Xenopus tropicalis: one gene and its partners. The protein of the gene in region 3 interacts with the protein of the main gene of each other region in a pairwise test. Links are inferred from orthologs where the notes say so. Each region holds a gene or a part of one and is shown on either strand. Other genes may lie near its edges.

The links.
Region 1: the proteins of atn1 (region 3) and wwp1 interact in a two-hybrid assay, tested with the Homo sapiens proteins (2 studies listed by BioGRID and IntAct). The link is inferred for Xenopus tropicalis from reciprocal best matches to the Homo sapiens genes ATN1 and WWP1.
Region 2: the proteins of atn1 (region 3) and leukocyte receptor cluster member 8 interact in a two-hybrid assay, tested with the Homo sapiens proteins (2 studies listed by BioGRID and IntAct). The link is inferred for Xenopus tropicalis from reciprocal best matches to the Homo sapiens genes ATN1 and LENG8.

Annotation. Positions count from the first base shown.
Region 1 is NC_030682.2:125,461,415-125,467,509, forward strand, and holds the start of wwp1 (NEDD4-like E3 ubiquitin-protein ligase WWP1), read left to right. Parts: upstream 1-2,700; 5' UTR 2,701-2,780; intron 2,781-6,095. UniProt on the Homo sapiens protein: E3 ubiquitin-protein ligase which accepts ubiquitin from an E2 ubiquitin-conjugating enzyme in the form of a thioester and then directly transfers the ubiquitin to targeted substrates.
Region 2 is NC_030683.2:112,086,365-112,092,554, forward strand, and holds the start of leukocyte receptor cluster member 8, read right to left. Parts: upstream 3,396-6,190; 5' UTR 3,198-3,395; exon of another isoform or gene 3,194-3,197; intron 222-3,193; 5' UTR 172-221; coding exon 134-171; intron 1-133.
Region 3 is NC_030683.2:9,456,248-9,461,806, reverse strand, and holds part of atn1 (atrophin-1), read left to right. Parts: coding exon 1-125; intron 126-415; coding exon 416-526; intron 527-2,379; coding exon 2,380-4,082; intron 4,083-4,640; coding exon 4,641-4,833; intron 4,834-5,440; coding exon 5,441-5,559. UniProt on the Homo sapiens protein: Transcriptional corepressor. Recruits NR2E1 to repress transcription. Promotes vascular smooth cell (VSMC) migration and orientation. Corepressor of MTG8 transcriptional repression.

The DNA.
Region 1 (6,095 bases), on a different chromosome or scaffold from region 3:
CCCCTATTAGCACATTCATTGTTAATTTTAACTATTTATATGAACTGCTTATTATAGAGTAACATCAGCTGTTTACATTGGGACCTATCTACTATTCTTCATGAATTTTGCAACAGGGGAATGACTGGTTATTGGACCCCAAAGCAATATCATTGGGCACCTAAGCTTACGCAGTTTACGTAATTTATGCAAAAACTTAAGTAACATATCAAGTGATGACAGCACAGAGCAGGGGCAGGTAGGTGGGAAGGGGTTAAACTTAGGGCAAACTCCACTGCCCCCCTATAAACTGAATGACTTCTTACGACATTAATCAATGGAACTCTTTATATAAACAGCTGTTTATATTGTGCACACAAGGGGCGTATCTAAAATGTTGGTACTGTGTGCTTGTGTTCATGGGGGGCCCCATATAAATAACTTTTGCTGGGTCCCAAAGTTTCTGATGGTGGCCCTGCCTGCCTAGGGTGTGAGGGGGCGCTAGGCAGGTACCTCTGCTGCCACCCCTAGTCCAGGATCGCTTTCCCCCACATTTGATTTCCCATGTGCTCCCTCCCTGCACTGCATCTGCGCGCCTTGCATGCCACGCTCCCCCCTCTGGGGCGTCCTGGTGTGTGCGCATTTTTGTGCATGCGCGGGGAGGGGGAAGTGGTGGGGCCAAGGTGGCTGGCTGGGTCGCCTAGGGTGCCTGGCCCACTTGGCCCGCCTCTGCCTATTAGTAAATGAACCACACATGAGGTGATTGTATTATTTATCCTGTTTCTTTGCTATTTTGTTCTGGGACACCAGAACAATATGTTGGCACAATGTTTAGGTGAAAACTACTACAGGTTGGTGCATTATTTTAAGAAGATGATAGCCAGCGTGGGGTAAGGAACATACTTTTCTAATCCCATCCTCTAAATGCAACACTCTCCACAGCCCCTTTAGCACACATGCCATATGAGGCAAAGGCTTAGCAACAAAATATGCCGGTTTGTTTCAAAAGCGTTGAATATGTTGCACTATAGCACAGTTGATTCCCTCACACAAAAATCTGGAGCTAATAAAAATGACACCCCCTCTTGTTGTGATGTGCAGGTTGACCTGAAACATGTGGGGTCTGTTTTTGCTTATAGCCCACAATCCCTTATCAATAGTACTGGTTGTTTATCATTAAAGTGATACTGACACCAGAAATTAAATCTTTTTTTACATCTATCATTCATTATCTTAAAAGTATTTGCCCAATACTTTTACATTACATTACCTACTATCTGATCCCCCATGTTCCTCTGTGAGGGGACTGCCAAGTAACAGTTACTTAGGGCCGTGGTAGACGGGGAGATTAGTTGCCCGTGACAAATCTCCCTTGTTGCGGGCGACTAATCTCTCTGATATGCCATCATACAGGCTTGAATGTAAATCGCCAGTGGTATGGCATATGCGGCGTTGCGATTTCCGAAAACTGCGGAAGTTGCCTTGAGAGGAAACTTGTGCGATTTCGGGAAATCGCGTCGCCGCATATGCCATACCACTGGCGATTTACATTCAAGCCGGTGGGATGGCATATCGGGGTGATTAGTCGCCCGCAACAAGGGAGATTTGTCACGCGGCGACTAATCTTCCCGTCTGTCACAGCCCTTAGCGCCAGTATCACTTTAAGGCTAATGGCACTTGGGGTAGTGCTGGAATGGCAAATATTCTGGCAAAACCCGTAGTGACTGCTGTGAATTGCATAGACCGGTGCTTTATTTGAGGTTGTTAGAGGACTGTCTCAGCCTCAGTTTATTTGTAATGCCAAGACTTATTTAGATCTTAGTACAGACAACATGGTGTGTTTTGACTACTACCTGTTAGGGTGAAGACACACAGAGCTACTTAGTAGCAGCTACTTGTCACAGCTACTAAACGCCAGAAAATCCCCTGCCACAGACAATACTGAGAATTGCCTCTGCTAAAACACATGTAGAGACAGTTATCAGTAAATGATCAGCATTGTCTATTTTTGCAGCTGTGACAAGTAGCTGCTACTAGTAGCTCCATGTGTCTTCACCCTAAGTGCCAGTGCCAAGTGGGGTGCTGGAGTCTTTACCCTTACTGCTTCTAATGGCAAGTGCATAGGGTTTGCAACTTTTAAAAATGATTTAACCTGCTGGGCTGGGGTGACAAGGGGGGTGGGGTGATGCTGTAAAGGCCCAGGGTGATAATATGAGCAGAAGAGAATTGGCATGTTGGGCAGAGGGCAGCTTCTGGTCTGAAAAGGGATGAACAATTAGGGTGGATCAGTGCAATGACACGCAATGGCACTGTTATACTGGTCCCAGCTTTAGCATGTGTTTTACCACTGGTAGAATAGCAACCCTGAAAGTGTCCCTGCTGATACACTTGGAGCAGTAAAAAGCCATAAACTAATGCTGCCTGAAACACAAAAAGTTGATTTAAACTTTAACAACAACTTTAACATGTCCCTCCTGGCCTAGTCTAAAGAGGAGCATCAAACTAAACTCATACAGATTAATGCGGGTTTAGCCAGAGAATTATATAGGTGACGTCACGCAAAGCTTGTCCCAATCCTGTCACGACATGGCCACGCCCCGTGTTATTGCTGGTAGGTGGGAGACACGTGACGTTTCCTGGGCGGGAGTTTGATGACGCGAGGGGGCGGAGTCCGGGGAAGCTCTGTGAGACGGCCGCAGTGGTGCCCGGAGCTGGCAGCGTGTGAATCGGACGGGAGCTCGGAAGGAGGAAGAGGCGGCCCGGGGAGGGGAGGGGAGGCCGAGGACGGGACATCCGCCCCGGTATGTTGGCAGCTGTGTCAGCTGGTTGGTGAAGTCGATAGGTTTCCCGCAGCAGTGTATGAGGGCATGTCGGTGCCACACACTGCTTGTTCTGCTCCTTGCCCCTAGGCTACTATTCCTTGTCTCCGCCTGGCATTAGCTACGGGCAATACCACTAGTGCTTTGCGCTGCTGTCGGTGATCCCATTCCCCGCTTTGCGTTTTTCTCTCAAGCCTTTCATTGTCGTGGTTTGTTGCGATCCGCTATTCTCCGGTCTCAGTACTCGCTCACATCTCTATGGCCTTAAGGGCCACCGGATATCTCGCTAGCTGTTTCCTTTCATCAGGGGCTTCTGGTTATTGTGTCACAGGTGGGCTAATGCTAGCCTGACTTCATTCATCATATGACTTGAACCCTGTACCCTCCTAGTGCCGCTGCCAAATCTGCCCATATCCATGTATAGTGTATAGCAGCAGCCTCCTTGCCAAGTGTATCCATGTATGTGCTACTTCTTTTGTGTCTTCCTTGTCTCCATGTGTAATGCTCACATTTAGCTTCACTCTCCTTGCCAAGTGTATCCATGTATTTCCCACCTCTGTTGTGTCTTCCTTGTCTCCATGTGTAATGCTCACATTTAGCTTCACTCTCCTTGCCAAGTGTATCCATGTATGTGCCACCTCTGTGGTGTCTTCCTTGTGTCTTTGTGCACTCTTCACATTTAGCTTCACCCTCCTTGCCAAGTGTATCCATGTATGTGCCACCTCTGTGGTGTCTTCCTTGTCTCCATGTGTAATGCCCACATTTAGCTTCACCCTCCTTGCCAAGTGTATCCATGTATGTGCCACCTCTGTGGTGTCTTCCTTGTCTCCATGTGTAATGCCCACATTTAGCTTCACCCTCCTTGCCAAGTGTATCCATGTATGTGCCACCTCTGTGGTGTCTTCCTTGTGTCTTTGTGCACTCTTCACATTTAGCTTCACCCTCCTTGCCAAGTGTATCCATGTATGTGCCACCTCTGTGGTGTCTTCCTTGTCTCCATGTGTAATGCCCACATTTAGCTTCACCCTCCTTGCCAAGTGTATCCATGTATGTGCCACCTCTGTGGTGTCTTCCTTTTGTCTTTGTGCACTCTTCACATTTAGCTTCACCCTCCTTGCCAAGTGTATCCATGTATGTGCCACCTCTGTGGTGTCTTCCTTGTCTCTATGTGTAATGCTCTCATTTAGCTTCACCCTCCTTGCCAAGTGTATCCATGTATGTGCCACCTCTGTGGTGTCTTCCTTGTCTCTATGTGTATTGCCCACATTTAGCTTCACTCTCCTTGCCAAGTGTATCCATGTATGTGCCACCTCTGGTGTCTTCCTTGTCTCTATGTGTAATGCCCACATTTAGCTTCACTCTCCTTGCCAAGTGTATCCATGTATGTGCCACCTCTGTGGTGTCTTCCTTGTCTCTATGTGTAATGCTCTCATTTAGCTTCACCCTCCTTGCCAAGTGTATCCATGTATGTGCCACCTCTGTGGTGTCTTCTTTGTGTCTTTGTGCACTCTTCACATTTAGCTGCAATCTCCTTGCCAAGTGTATCCATGTATGTGCCACCTCTGTGGTGTCTTTCTTGTCTCCATGTGTAATGCCCACATTTAGCTTCACCCTCCTTGCCAAGTGTATCCATGTATGTGCCACCTCTGTTTTGTCTTCCTTGTCTCCATGTGTAATGCTCACATTTAGCTTCACTCTCCTTGCCAAGTGTATCCATGTATTTCCCACCTCTGTGGTGTCTTTCTTGTCTCCATGTGTAATGCTCACATTTAGCTTCACCCTCCTTGCCATCTGTATCCATTTATGTGCCACCTCTGTGGTGTCTTCTCAGTGTCCATGTAATGTCCATATTGAGATTTTTCATGATTAAAACAATAGGCAAAAAAAGTATGTTCAGAAAACAACAATTAATAGAGGGTACTCCCTTATGCAAATATAGTAAAGGATGCAAAAGTAAAGACTCTTACCCAAATAGAGGCAAAAGTAAAGCAAACTACAAAAGGTCACTTTGCACTCCAAAACAAAGTATGTTCAGCACAAGCCCTGTGTATTGAGCTTGTGCTGTGCAAGGGGGGTATACTGCCACTCCACCTTTTTTGCCAACTCAGTGTTGTCTTGCGCCTGTGCACCTTTAGGGTGAAGACACACAGAGCTACTTAGTAGCAGCTACCCCTGCCATAGACAATACTGAGAATTGCCTCTGCTAAAACACATGTAGAGACAATTATCAGTAAATGATCAGCATTGTCCATTTTAGTAGCCATGACAAGTAGCTGCTACTACCGGTAGTAGGTCATTGTGTCTTCACCCTTAATTGCATTCTCTCTGCTTAGTCTACCCTTTTTTTGTCCAAGCACTCCCCGCCAGGTATGCCGTTGTCTTTTGTTTATCTTTTGTGAAATTTACTTTGGACCAAGTGCATCGTACTTTAGCTACCAGTGTTTCCCAACCATGTTGCTCCCCTAATCCCTTTGATATTGCTTCCAGTGGCCTCAAAGCAGGTGTTCATTTTTGAATTTCTTACTTGGAGGCACAAAGGCCATGTGTACTGCCACACAGAGCCAAATATGCCATTATTTGGCACCCCCTTGGAACTTTTTTCATGCTTGCGTTGCTGCCAACTCTTTTTATTTAAATGTTTTCTATAGGTAAAAAAGTTGGACACCTTTATTTCAAACTTTCCATAGGTGTTATTTCTATATCATTTCCATAAAGCTTGTCCAAGTTGTTCATTCTTGCCATACTACCCCCCCCCATTGTCAGATTATTGAATAAAATAAATAACGAAAAATATATAGTAGTACTTTGCCCTAGAAGTTGTATTAATGGTCACCAGCCTTCTCAGGGCCTTCAACAGGTTACTTAACCTAATATGACTTGTAAATGTGTGCCATGTCATGACAAATGTGTTTACTGATCATGTATCACTGTTATTTTGAAAGGAAGAAAGGTTATGTTGGTTGGTTGGTTCATTGTGGATAAAAATGTATTTAGTTTTGGCCATTTGTGCTGAAAATACTATTAAAAACCTTTGTCCCCAGTTGATTGAAACTTTAGTTTGGTAAATAAATGAACAGCCCATCCTCATACACTCCCACAAGGAGTCTTGGGAATACTGTCTGAAACTGGTCTTATTACTACATTCTAACAATGGCTAAACCCCTTTGTGGTAACTTATTCCAAACAGTCAGTGTATATGTCCTTATCAAGTAGGTTATATTGGATAACAAGGAGACAGTGGGCAAAGCATATGAAGAATACCAGAATTACTGAGTCCACCTAGAACAAAATATGCAA
Region 2 (6,190 bases), about 100 Mb from region 3:
TAAACCGAGGTGTCCGAGTCAAAGGATTTATGTACAGACGCCACAGCCCTGGTTACTACTAAACCATTATATTTTAATCCAACCTACAAACCCTCTTACATACTACACATTTAAAGAAAAATTTGGAACTTACCACTCGTTATTTAATGGCTCCCCTAGGTTGGTAGCCATGATAAGCCGTCTAAAACTCCTCTGGATTCAAGATGCCGACAAAATGTTTCCTATGAAAATGAAAAATAATATCATTTTCTTCATGTTACATATTCAACTGTAGCTACAATATATGCTGACCAAACAGTGCAAATGCAAAAGACATTGCCACATTGCTGGATATATTTTTTGGTCAGCTGAACTGACTAACATCCGTGTTTCACTTTCCAGATTCTAAAAAACATTCATGTCATATAAAGACAAGTATGTCTGCCTAAAGACAAATTAAATCTATTCAAGGGAGCTCTAGCTGGACAGAGCACAGCAAATCAAAAACTTTAATAGAAATTCACAATATACAATACTTGGGCTCATAACCAATAACTCATACATTTTGTTTCTGTAGAAGTTACAGCAAAGACTGTTCCGATACAACCTAACAAACATGCATATGTTATATACACACACAAACAAATTCCAGAGGGGCTGCTGTAAGATGCCATAGACAGTAGTTATTTATTGGGCTGGGGGGGCTGTTTGGGTCTCTGGGTACTTGAAATGCCAGGGCTTATTTTGACTCCCAGTCCTGGCCTGTTTTATGCTGCATGTGAGTAAGCAGCTGATGAGAGATACAGATGCTAGAGTGGTTTGGTTTCAGAACAACGAATAGCTCAGCTTACAACTAATCAGTCTCTAAATGTTTGTGCTAAAAAACTGGACACAGAAAAAAACATTTGCCACATCTTTTAATCTACTAAAAGTAGAGGCCATTGTAATACTATCTCAGTATTCCATAATTCCCTTCAGTTAATTCACTACAATAATTATGACAATTAAAAGGAACAGTAACACCAAAAAATGAAAATGTATCAAAATAATTAGTATATTACCTACCGTTGCCCTGCACTGGTTAAAGTTGTGTTTTTTTTATTTCAGAAACAGTACTGTAGTTTATATAAACCCTGCTGTGTAGCCATGGGGGCAGCCATTCAAGCTACAAAAAAGGCACAGGTCACAAAGAAGATAACAGATAAGCGGAGTACATTCCAATTGTATTCTATAGAGCTTCTCTGTTATCTGCTATGTACCCTGTGCTTTTTCTCCTTTTTTCCAGCTTGAATAGCTGCCCCCATGGCTTCACAGCAGCTTATTCATATAAACTATAGTAGACTTTCTGAAGCAAACAACTTTTGCCAGGGCAGGACAACAGCAGATACTATTTTAAAATTACTTTAAAACATTTTTTGGTGTTACTGTTCCTTAGGTGCCAGATAACCAGATTTGGGCAGTCAGTGGTCTGACTGACTATTACTAGGGCTATGGCACAGTGTTTTTTTAGGCCAATTATCTATTGCTAGTTGACATTTTTGTGGGCTAATTCAGGCATTATGATGAAACAGCTATACACTGTGAGATATTAGCAATGCCCAACTGATGCTTATTCTAATGGTGCCCGACTATCTTGAGATATACAGCCAATCAGGCAGAAATTCTGACTGCTATTGAGGTGGATCAAGGATTCCCAATCCTGAGAGAAAATTTCAGCTGGCCTGCCAAAAGTGAAGAGGAGCTGCAACGCCACAGCTACTGTTTCAATTCTTCAACCAGAACAAAAAACAGCACAACAAAAACATGGCCCTGTACGGAACTTGTCCTCTTGGCCAATCAGTTGGATGCCGAGCCAGGCTGCTGTGTGTGTGGCCACTTTTTATCAACCTGACAGCTTTGTCACCAGAGGGAAATGTGGCACTTGTCAGCACATCACTGAAAATCTCCCCCAATACCCAGAAATGACGCCACGCAGCTGAAGCCAAAAAATTCTACCTGGGCAAATGCATCAAATGACGTCGGAGGAGAGCCTTCAAAATATATGGGGGGGGGGGATTGACAGCTCTGTCAACATACAGAAAAAATTCAACAGATGGGTATTTGGGTATAGTTCTGTTCTACATTTCATTGTACATATTCCGACACTGTTGTTTCTTTAGGCCAACCTGACCAAAATTTCTATAGCCGCCTGAATGGTACACAGAAATCGACTGGAATCCCCCCATCATACACCAAAATCAGCAAAAGCATGTACAGTGTTAAGGGGGCCAACCATAGGGCTCTTCTAGATATTTTAAATAGCTTTAATTAAAAGTCACATGGGGTGCGACTCACCTGCCTTTGAAACTAGGGCCACATGACTGAAACAAAAACAAAAATTTAGTGTGGGTGGGGCCTAACCAAATGTTCAGAAAAAACAAATTGTTATATATATATAGCAAAAAAATCACACTTTTAATGAGAAAAAAACAAGTCCAACGTTTTGAGCACAAACTGTGCTCTTCCTCAGGGACAAACTTTTTTTCTCATTAAAAGTGTGATTTTTTTGCAAAGTCCTTGTGTGTGCGGCTCTCTGTCTATATAATAATTTTTTTGCCACCACCCTGGGCATTTGTATTTCTATAGGGTGTTCTCCTTTTGGTCTTGTGTGTGTATATATATATATATATATATATATATATATATATATATATATATATATATATATATATACATATATGTTTATATAGGAGGGCACACAAGCTATTTGCCTGCTGGATGCGCTGTAGTAATTAACCCTTTGAGTGCTGGGTTATTATATATATATAAAAAATTACCTGTGTGTATGTATTTGTATATAATATATATATATATACACACACAAATACATACACACGTAAAAAAAAAAAAAAAAAAAAAAAAGATATATACACATATTTAATTAACCCTGTGTGTGTATGTATATGTGTATATATATATATATATATATATATATATATATATATATATATATAATTAGCCCTGTGAGTGCTGGGTTATAATTATATATATTACGTGTGTATATATATATATATATATATATATAATCATTATATATGTAAGCGCACACCTAAATCAAGCCGTTTGCATGTAATTACGTCCCTTACAGTACAACTCCCAATACAGGCCGAGCTAGGGCACATACGATGAGGAATTTATAGGGCCGCAGACAACAGAAAGAGACGCGCAAACTTACCTACCGTTTGTGTATCGCTTAAAAACAAAATAACAAACAAAAGAAAATCGCCCTTTTGACCTAACAAGCTCGTTATATCATTCGTCGCTCTGACGGGCCTTGTCTTCACACAACGGCATCCATTTTACTTTCCTTCCACCCCGGAAGTCTCGGCTTCTGTATGCCTGAAATGGAACTGTGGGCGGCGGGCGTGACGTCACCGGGCCATGTGACTGCGGCTGGCCAATCCCGCTACTGGAAGCGTCGTATGCCAAATACATATACAAACATGTATGTTACGTAAGGGAGAAGCGGGACGAACAGTCTTTAGGAAGAGAGTAGCAGTCTCCATTAGGGCCGCTGCTAGGGCGGAGCTTCTCCTTGCAAACAGCGATTATATTTTTTCAGTACAGTAAACGCTGGTGATATAATTACGCCCTTTTTCAAATAAAAATTCTGCTCAAGAAGAAGCAGCATTGTTAAAATAACTAGTATTTCTTTGAAAAACAGATCAAAGTTTGGTCGGGGGAGGAGGGCAACCCTCACGAAGCCATTTTAGGGAACTTCCGGTTTGTGTATTTGAGGGACTTTGCTAATGGGGCAAGGGGGCAGAGTGCTGTGGTAACTTATGAGATAGTTTTATTTTATTTAAACTGTAAATTAAACTATTAGCGCACAGATTGCTATAATGCTTTATGCAATAGTGAATTTCCCATTCCAGTCCAAGAACTGGAGTGTTAAGGGTGACTGGATTTTCTCCCTCAGGCTATAGAAGGGGACATGAGCAGTTGTGATGTGTGGGTCAGGAAAAACTCAAATATTGCCATTTTGGGACTTGTACTCGCTCCATACGCTGCTTCTGTGTGCGCCTTTGGCTCCAAGAGAAGGCATCTTTGGAAGCAAAAATGGAGCCCATTGATGTCAGAGGGCAGAGACACTAAAGCTCGCCACACACGTGGCGATCTGACGATGTGCCACACACCATTCAGGGCTGAATCGGCAGGTAAGGAGGTAGAAACAATAGGATTTCTACCTCCTTCTGCCGATTCAGCGCTGAAGGGAGATTTTGGTCAGGCACCTTCTATGGCGCCCGATCAAAATTTTCAAACTGGGCGATCGGCGAGTCGGCCGATATCAGCAGGTTCCTGCGATATCGGTCGACTCGCCGACATACCATACACGCACCGAATATCGTACGAAACGAGGTTTCGTACGATATTATCGGTGCGTGTATGGCCACCTTAAATAGACTTCCTGAGTGTGTCCCACACCCAACTTAAATTGACCACAGTCACCCAAAGCTGGACCTTGAATTTTTTGGTCAGCCTGCACATTACTAAGTAGCCCTTTTGATAATGGGATTATCTGGTTACATTTTGTTAAAGGAGAAGGAAAGGTAAAAAACTAAGTGAACTTTATGAGAAAGGTCTATGTAAATACAACCATAAGCACTCACAGAAAAGATGCAGTGAGTCCTCCATTAAAAGAAACAGGATTTATTGTCTCCTTTTTTTTTTTTTAAACATGTTCTTCCTGTATCTGATTTCCTCTTTCAGAAAATCCTTCATTCTTGGGGCCAGAATCTGTGCAGCTCTCTCCTCACTTCTGCACCACCACAAGAATGCTAGAACAACCTCTCCCCTCCCTTAGGAATGTGTAATGTCAGCTATAATGGCTAGAGCTATACAGACGGAAGCTATGAAGTCCAAACTAAAATGGCAGCTGCATTCTTAAGCAAACAGAGAAAGCTTCTATGGCTCTTTACCCAGGTATGGCAATGCTGTCTGAAGAATAAATATAGTGTTCTAGGTGGCACTTATGTGGCGAATCTATTGGCAGTAAAATGCCAAAATGACTTTCCTTCTCCTTTAAAAATCAATTAAACTAACATTTGCCCTGGCCTCTGCATGTAACCACTAGCTATCTACAACATTTTCTTTATTCCCCCTCAGCAAGCTGATCAGTATAGTTCCTGTAAAAAAGGGAATCTGGAATTTGACCAAATATCCTGTCAAATATTAAAGCCAACATTATTGGTAGTTGGTTCACATTTACTCAGTACTGAAAAAATTATAAGCACGGCCCACAAATATTTAATTTGCACAATGACCGGGCACTTCCAGTTTCAGCTGAAGTCAAATTATATTTTGGGAAAGCACTTTTAATGCAATTGTAAAGCAATTTTAAAAAGTTAGTGGCATCAAAATGAACTACACCTTTCATGTAATATTTTCTGATAATTACAAAGAAAGATAATTTACCTCACAGAAGGCACGTGTATATAAAGGATTGGGGAAAGTATTTTTCCTTGATCCAGAGAACTTGACAGAGGGGTCGGGTACCATAGTGTTGCTACTATTCAGTTTCAGCATTTATGTGCCTAAACCTGACATTAGCTATTTTTTGGCTTTGTTTTTTTTTCTAGTTGCTTTCCATTCTTGTGTGTCTGACAGATTTTATAGGGTGGAAACATCCTGTGCACTGAAGCTTGATACAAAAGATCTTTTAGAGATCATTGGACCTTTCTGGTATAATCATATGTGCTTCATGACAGGAAAGAGCACAGTAGTAACACATGCAAAACTGAGACCTTGTTGGGTACAGACTGATAAATGATCTATTGCTTTTCTAAACTTTATAGAGAACCCTCTTTTAAGAGTGCAGGACACAAAACAGACTTGTAAGGGCCAATAAGGCTGTGGGAGTTAAGGTTAGGGGAGGAGTTTGTAGACCAATGAGGGCATTCAAATGAATGGGGGCAGGCCCAGACTGGCGATCTCTGGATTCCAGCAAATGCCAGAGGGGCTGCTATAAGATGCCATAGACAGTCACTATTTATTGTGCCTGTGGGGGCTGTTTGGGCCTTTGTTGCACATAAAATGCCAGGACCTATTATGAATCCCAGTCAGGATCTGAGTGAGGTTATTTGAAGCATCTTGTCCATCTACAAAAAGCCTGGGGGGACCAAATGCTCAAAATCGGCCCATGTACTAACTCCCTTAAAGAACAGTGATCGTA
Region 3 (5,559 bases):
GTGGAAGGAAAAAGGAGAGTGTGGGCCCAAGGGAAGAGCGCAGAGCAAGGGGGAGAGCCTCCCCAGGTGCCATCAGCACCTCGAGCAGCGACAGCAAGAGTGAGAAGGGGCGGCCGAGCGGAAAGGTAAGAGCAGAGAACTGTCCCGAACTCCCCCAGAACAGTTTAAAGCAACAGAAAAAACCTGATAAACCTAATGGGGTGCAGAACCAGATTATATAGAATCCCAGCAACGCCCATATTGGAGAGGGAAGTAGGCTGCATGTTTGTATTATTGTAATTCTTTAAAGGGGAACTCCACCCAAACATAACCTAAGCTTTCTGAAAAGTAAACATAATAGCCCAGCCCTGTTTTGAGAACACAGGGATAGTAAGATTGGTAGAGAACTAAGCTCTTTTGTTATTTCTCTCTCCAGAAGGGAAGAATGGAAGATTCTGTCCCAAAAAACAGCAAGCGGGAGCGAGTAAAGGATTCCTCTGAGAGTGAGGGGGAGGCCGGGAAAACCCAGAAGAAAGCCAAGATGGAGGTGAGAAGTGTTGGCAAATCAGAATTCGCCACTAGCTGATACTGGCTTTTGTAACGTTTGTCATTAAAGGCAAATAATGTCACATTCAGCACAGTACCACCTTGCCAAGTGAGCGGATCTTCTCCCAATATCCCCATCTACGGGTGGGCGATATCGGGTGGATTTAGGCTAATTTGGTTGTTTGGCCCTGGGGCCAAACGATGGTAATGGGCGCAGTTGGTTTGGCTTGTTGATGCGGTCCCCGATCCGACTAAATTTTTTAAACTGCCCGATTTCTGGCCAGATATCGGTTGGGCAGGCCCGTCATTGGTGCCCTACATGAGCCGATAAGCTGCCGAATCGGTCTAAGGGACTGATATCGGCAGCTACAATCACCCCGTGTATGGCCACTTTTAGACTCAGGGCCAAACGATCAAATTAAAACGCCGTTAATGGGCGCAGTCGGTTCAGGGACCGCATCAACAATCAATGCGGTCCCCGATCCGACTACATTTTTTAACCTGCCTGATATCTGCCCGATTTCAGGCCAGATATCGGTCGGGCAGGCCGTCATTGGTGCCCCTACACGGGCTGATAAGCAGCCGAATCGGTCTAAGGGACGGATATCAGCAGCTAGAATCGGCCCGTGTATGGCCACTTTTAGACTCATTTGTGGTTGCCACAGAAATACCTGGGGTGACATAAAGGTGTGGGGTTATAGTGTAAAAAAAAACAGAAAAAAATGGGACAGATCAGGGGCATGTGGTCTGATCAATCAGGGGAAGCTGGCAGGCATTGGCTAGGATATGGGTGGCATAAGGTGGCCAGATCAGGGGCCTTACAAGACACTGAGGAGAAAGTCAAAATGGGCCTGCAGTTGCATTTTTAATAGCGGCCTGGCCTTGTCCCTGTCTTACCAGCTAGGCTGGGGCAGTACAAGCTGAGTGGGAAACCTTTACTTACCCATATTTGCCTTCTGATTGATAAAACCTGTGCCAGTAAGCCTGTGTGGGAGACTGAGGGGGCACTGCTAGCACACAGCCTACGTCAGCTCCCTGCAATATGATGGGAATTACAGGTAAAAGGTATTTGACAGGTTAGAAAGTCCCATTGGGCAAGGCACAAGTCAGTGTGTTGTTCCTCTCCTGATGCCTAGACCTCTATAGGATCTGATTGTTGGCCCAAGGGCCAAACGGTTGGCCCAGCATGCAGATAACCAGATCAGGAAAGGAAAGGCCCAAGGGCCAAATGGTTGGGTGGTCCTAGTTGGCCCAGCATGCAGATGGCCAGATCAGGAAAGGAAAGGCCCAAGGGCCAAACAGTTGGGTGGTCCTAGTTAGCCCAGCATGCAGATGGCCAGATCAGGAAAGGAAAGGCCCAAGGGCCAAACAGTTGGGTGGTCCTAGTTAGCCCAGCATGCAGATGGCCAGATCAGGAAAGGAAAGGCCCAAGGGCCAAACAGTTGGGTGGTCCTAGTTAGCCCAGCATGCAGATGGCCAGATCAGGAAAGGAAAGGCCCAAGGGCCAAACGGTTGGGTGGTCCTAGTTGGTCCAGCATGCAGATGGCCAGATCAGGATAGTAAAGGCCCAAGGGCCAAACGGTTGGGTAGTCCTAGTAGGCCCAGCATGCAGATAACCAGATCAGGAAAGGAAAGGAAAGGCCCAAGGGCCAAACAGTTTGGTGGTCCTAATTGGCCCAGCATGCAGATAACCAGATCGGGAAAGGATCTGCTTGTTTTTGGACCTTGCCAACTGAGGGAATCTGTGTATGTACAGCTTTAAATCTAAATCAGTGCAAAAAACAGGAGTAGCATTTAATATTCTTTGGTCTCTGTTTTATTACAATGACTACATTCTCCTTCTTGTGTCTCTAGTCTCCTGAGGTCCCGCGTCCTCCCCCAGATGACGAAAGCCTCGATGGTCAGAGTGGCAATGAGGATGGCGGCAGTGACCCACGTGACATTGACCAGGATAACCGCAGCACTTCCCCAAGCCTACACAGTGGAGATAGCGAAAGTGATGCTTCCTCTGTTCCATCCCCCAAATCTTTCCCTCTTTACCGAGGCTCCTCTCCCCCACGACCTTCTTCCTCACCTATTTCTGAGCCCACAGTTCTACCGCCCCCATCTCAAGCTCCACAAACAGCAACCCAGATTGAGCCACAGGCACCACGACCGTACCAACCGACGCATCTTCCACAACTGTATCCAAGTAATGGTGGACTAGTCAAGGCGGGGCCTCCTCAGCCTGCCCAGGTCAAGCCTCCACCCACCACTCCAATAGCAGGACTGGGCTCCCCCAGACCATTAGGCTCCCCCACAGCCCCAGCTTCTGCACCTACCAATTGTTCCTCCTCTGCATCTTATCCTCATGTGTCTCACAATTTGCCACCACCCCCGGCTCTTCGTCCACTCAATGCATCACCTGGACTTCAATCTCAAGTGGCAGAAAAGGTTGGCCAGCCACTCCCACCTACATCTGCTTCACTTCGTTATCCCCCTTATCCTGGGCAATATCCATCCAATTATCCTCACCCATACCCTACACAGGGCAAGTATAACCAACCACAGCCTGGCCCCCATTCTTCCTGGGGACAGAGTGGTCTAAACTATGGGCGTGGGGGAGGAGGCCCCTCGTATCCACAGCCACCCCCCCAAAATGGACAAGCAGCAGGTGGAGGGCAGAATATTGCTGGGGGATTTCCACCCCCCCACCATGGAAGCGCAAGGGCTCAGTCCCCTCTAAATAACCACCCACCTCATCCTCACCCCACTACTGGTGGAATTCAGTCTCCAGCCTCCCAAATCAGTGTTCTCCACTCTCACGGAGGGGCATCGGGCACTAGAGGGCAGTCTCCTAACCACCCTCTGAATAATGCCCATCACCCTCACATTCTACCAAACAGGGGGCGCTCACCTACCCCGCAGAGCAACCTGACTCCTGGGAGCACACCTCAGTCAGGCCACCAGCCAGCTCACATCTTACCGGGTGGAATTATTTCTCCAAATCCTCCCCCTCAGAACAATACCCAGCTGACATCTTCAACAGGAGGAAGTGCGAGGGGACAGTCGCCTGCACCTACAAATACCCCTCACCTCCTTCCCCAATCCAATTCATCAAGTGGGAGCATGGCTTATCCTGCGCCAGCGGAGCCCTCAAACCCACCATCTACACACCCTGTCTACCAGCCTCATTCTTCTCCATCTGTGTGCCAGTACCCCCCCAGCTCTCAGACGTATCCCAACTATCCCTTTCAGGGCTACAAAGGTGCACCTCCAGCTGCTCCACCTTATAAAACTGCCCCACCACCACCTTATAAGCCAGGATCTTTCCCTGCCTCCACACCTCCTCCTCCTTCCCAGGGATTCAAGGAGGCATCTCCTCCGGCAACGGCTCCTGCCCCTCAACCCGTCCCTCAACCTGTCCCTCAACCACCAGCCCCTGCTCCTGTTCAGATAAAACAAGAACCTCCCGAAGAGGTTGAAGGTGAAGGAGAAAGTCCAGTTCCTCCTGTCAGCAGCCCCTCACCGCCCCCAAAACTTGTGGATACACCAAGCCATGCCAGTCAATCAGCTAGGTATATAAGTATATGCACATAGCAATGCATGAGTGGGATCTTGGTGGGATACTGGTCTAATTGTATACAGAGTAATGGGCAAATGGGTGGAGCTATCAGAAGGGAAGAGAGGCAGAGGGCCCTGGTGTAAAGGGGGGAGGCCATATAAGAAATGGGTGGGTCTTCCTACAGATTTGGTGCATAAAGCAGTTCAGTGGCGTGAGCAGACCCGTGGTACCTTATGGCAGGAACCAATAGCAAATAATATATATGCACTAATATATATATATGCACTGATACTCATAACTGTGTTTAAGCTTGACTGATGGGTAAGTGGGTGGGGCCAGATATGAGATGATCATCACCGTGGTGGAATGATCATGAATGTTAATAATGCTTTGATATTGACAGAGGGCAGAGAAATGACAGTACAGTAGTGAGGTTATTATAATTGATTACTTACCCCAGTACACTTTGCCAATGGCTGGCACATACTATACTCTGCTCAATAACCCCCCCCCCCCCCCCGCTCTTATTGATACAGATTCTCTCTCTCTGCCATTACTCTCTGTGACCCAGGTTTAACAAGCACCTTGACCGAGGGTACAACTCTTGCTGTCGCACTGACCTTTACTTTGTGCCTCTGGAAGGCTCCAAACTCTCCAAGAAGAGGTCTGAGCAGATAGAGAGAGCTCGGAGAGAGAGCGAGCAGAGAGCACGCGAGGAGCGAGAAAGAGAAAGAGAGAGGGAACGTGAGCTGGAGAGAAACACGGTACGGCAGTCACTCCCCAGAGATCTTCCCTTCATGTTGCATAGCTGTCCATGGCGGATCTAGTGGGGCTCATACAGTCCCCGTTCTCCCCATACCTGCTATCTTCTACCATATGCTGCTTTATACATGGGTTCCTATTGTATTTACTTGTTATAAATTACTTAGGACATAGAAATACTTCAATCCTGTTTGTGGGTGGGTTCCTCAAGGGTGTGTCGTTAGCATCTAACTGCAGGAAGCCAAATGGATATGTCTTACATTGTATTATAAGGGGTACATGTATTATAAGGGATAATGTACCCCCTACTGTAAATGATAAGGATATTAGCAGTCACTGAGGGGTTCTGTGCCCATATAAAGGCACAAGGCTGCAGGCTGAGTTATACAGGGAACTCTGAGTATCACTCATGTATTATAAGGGATAATGTACCCCCTACTGTAAATGATAAGGATATTAGCAGTCACTGAGGGGTTCTGTGCCCATATAAAGGCACAAGGCTGCACTGCAGTTATACAAGGAACTCTATATAATAATATAATATCTGAGCTCTTATATAATACAGGAATAAATATTTTACTTTCTCTTTATCTGCTTTTTTGTTTTTAGAAGTTGGATTCCCGCTCCCATGACTGCCCCCAGCTCTGTACTCAGCCCCCTTCTCACCACCCATCCTTGGCTTTGCCCTCCCCTTCCTCTGCTGCCAACCGACCACCCCATTTTGAGCC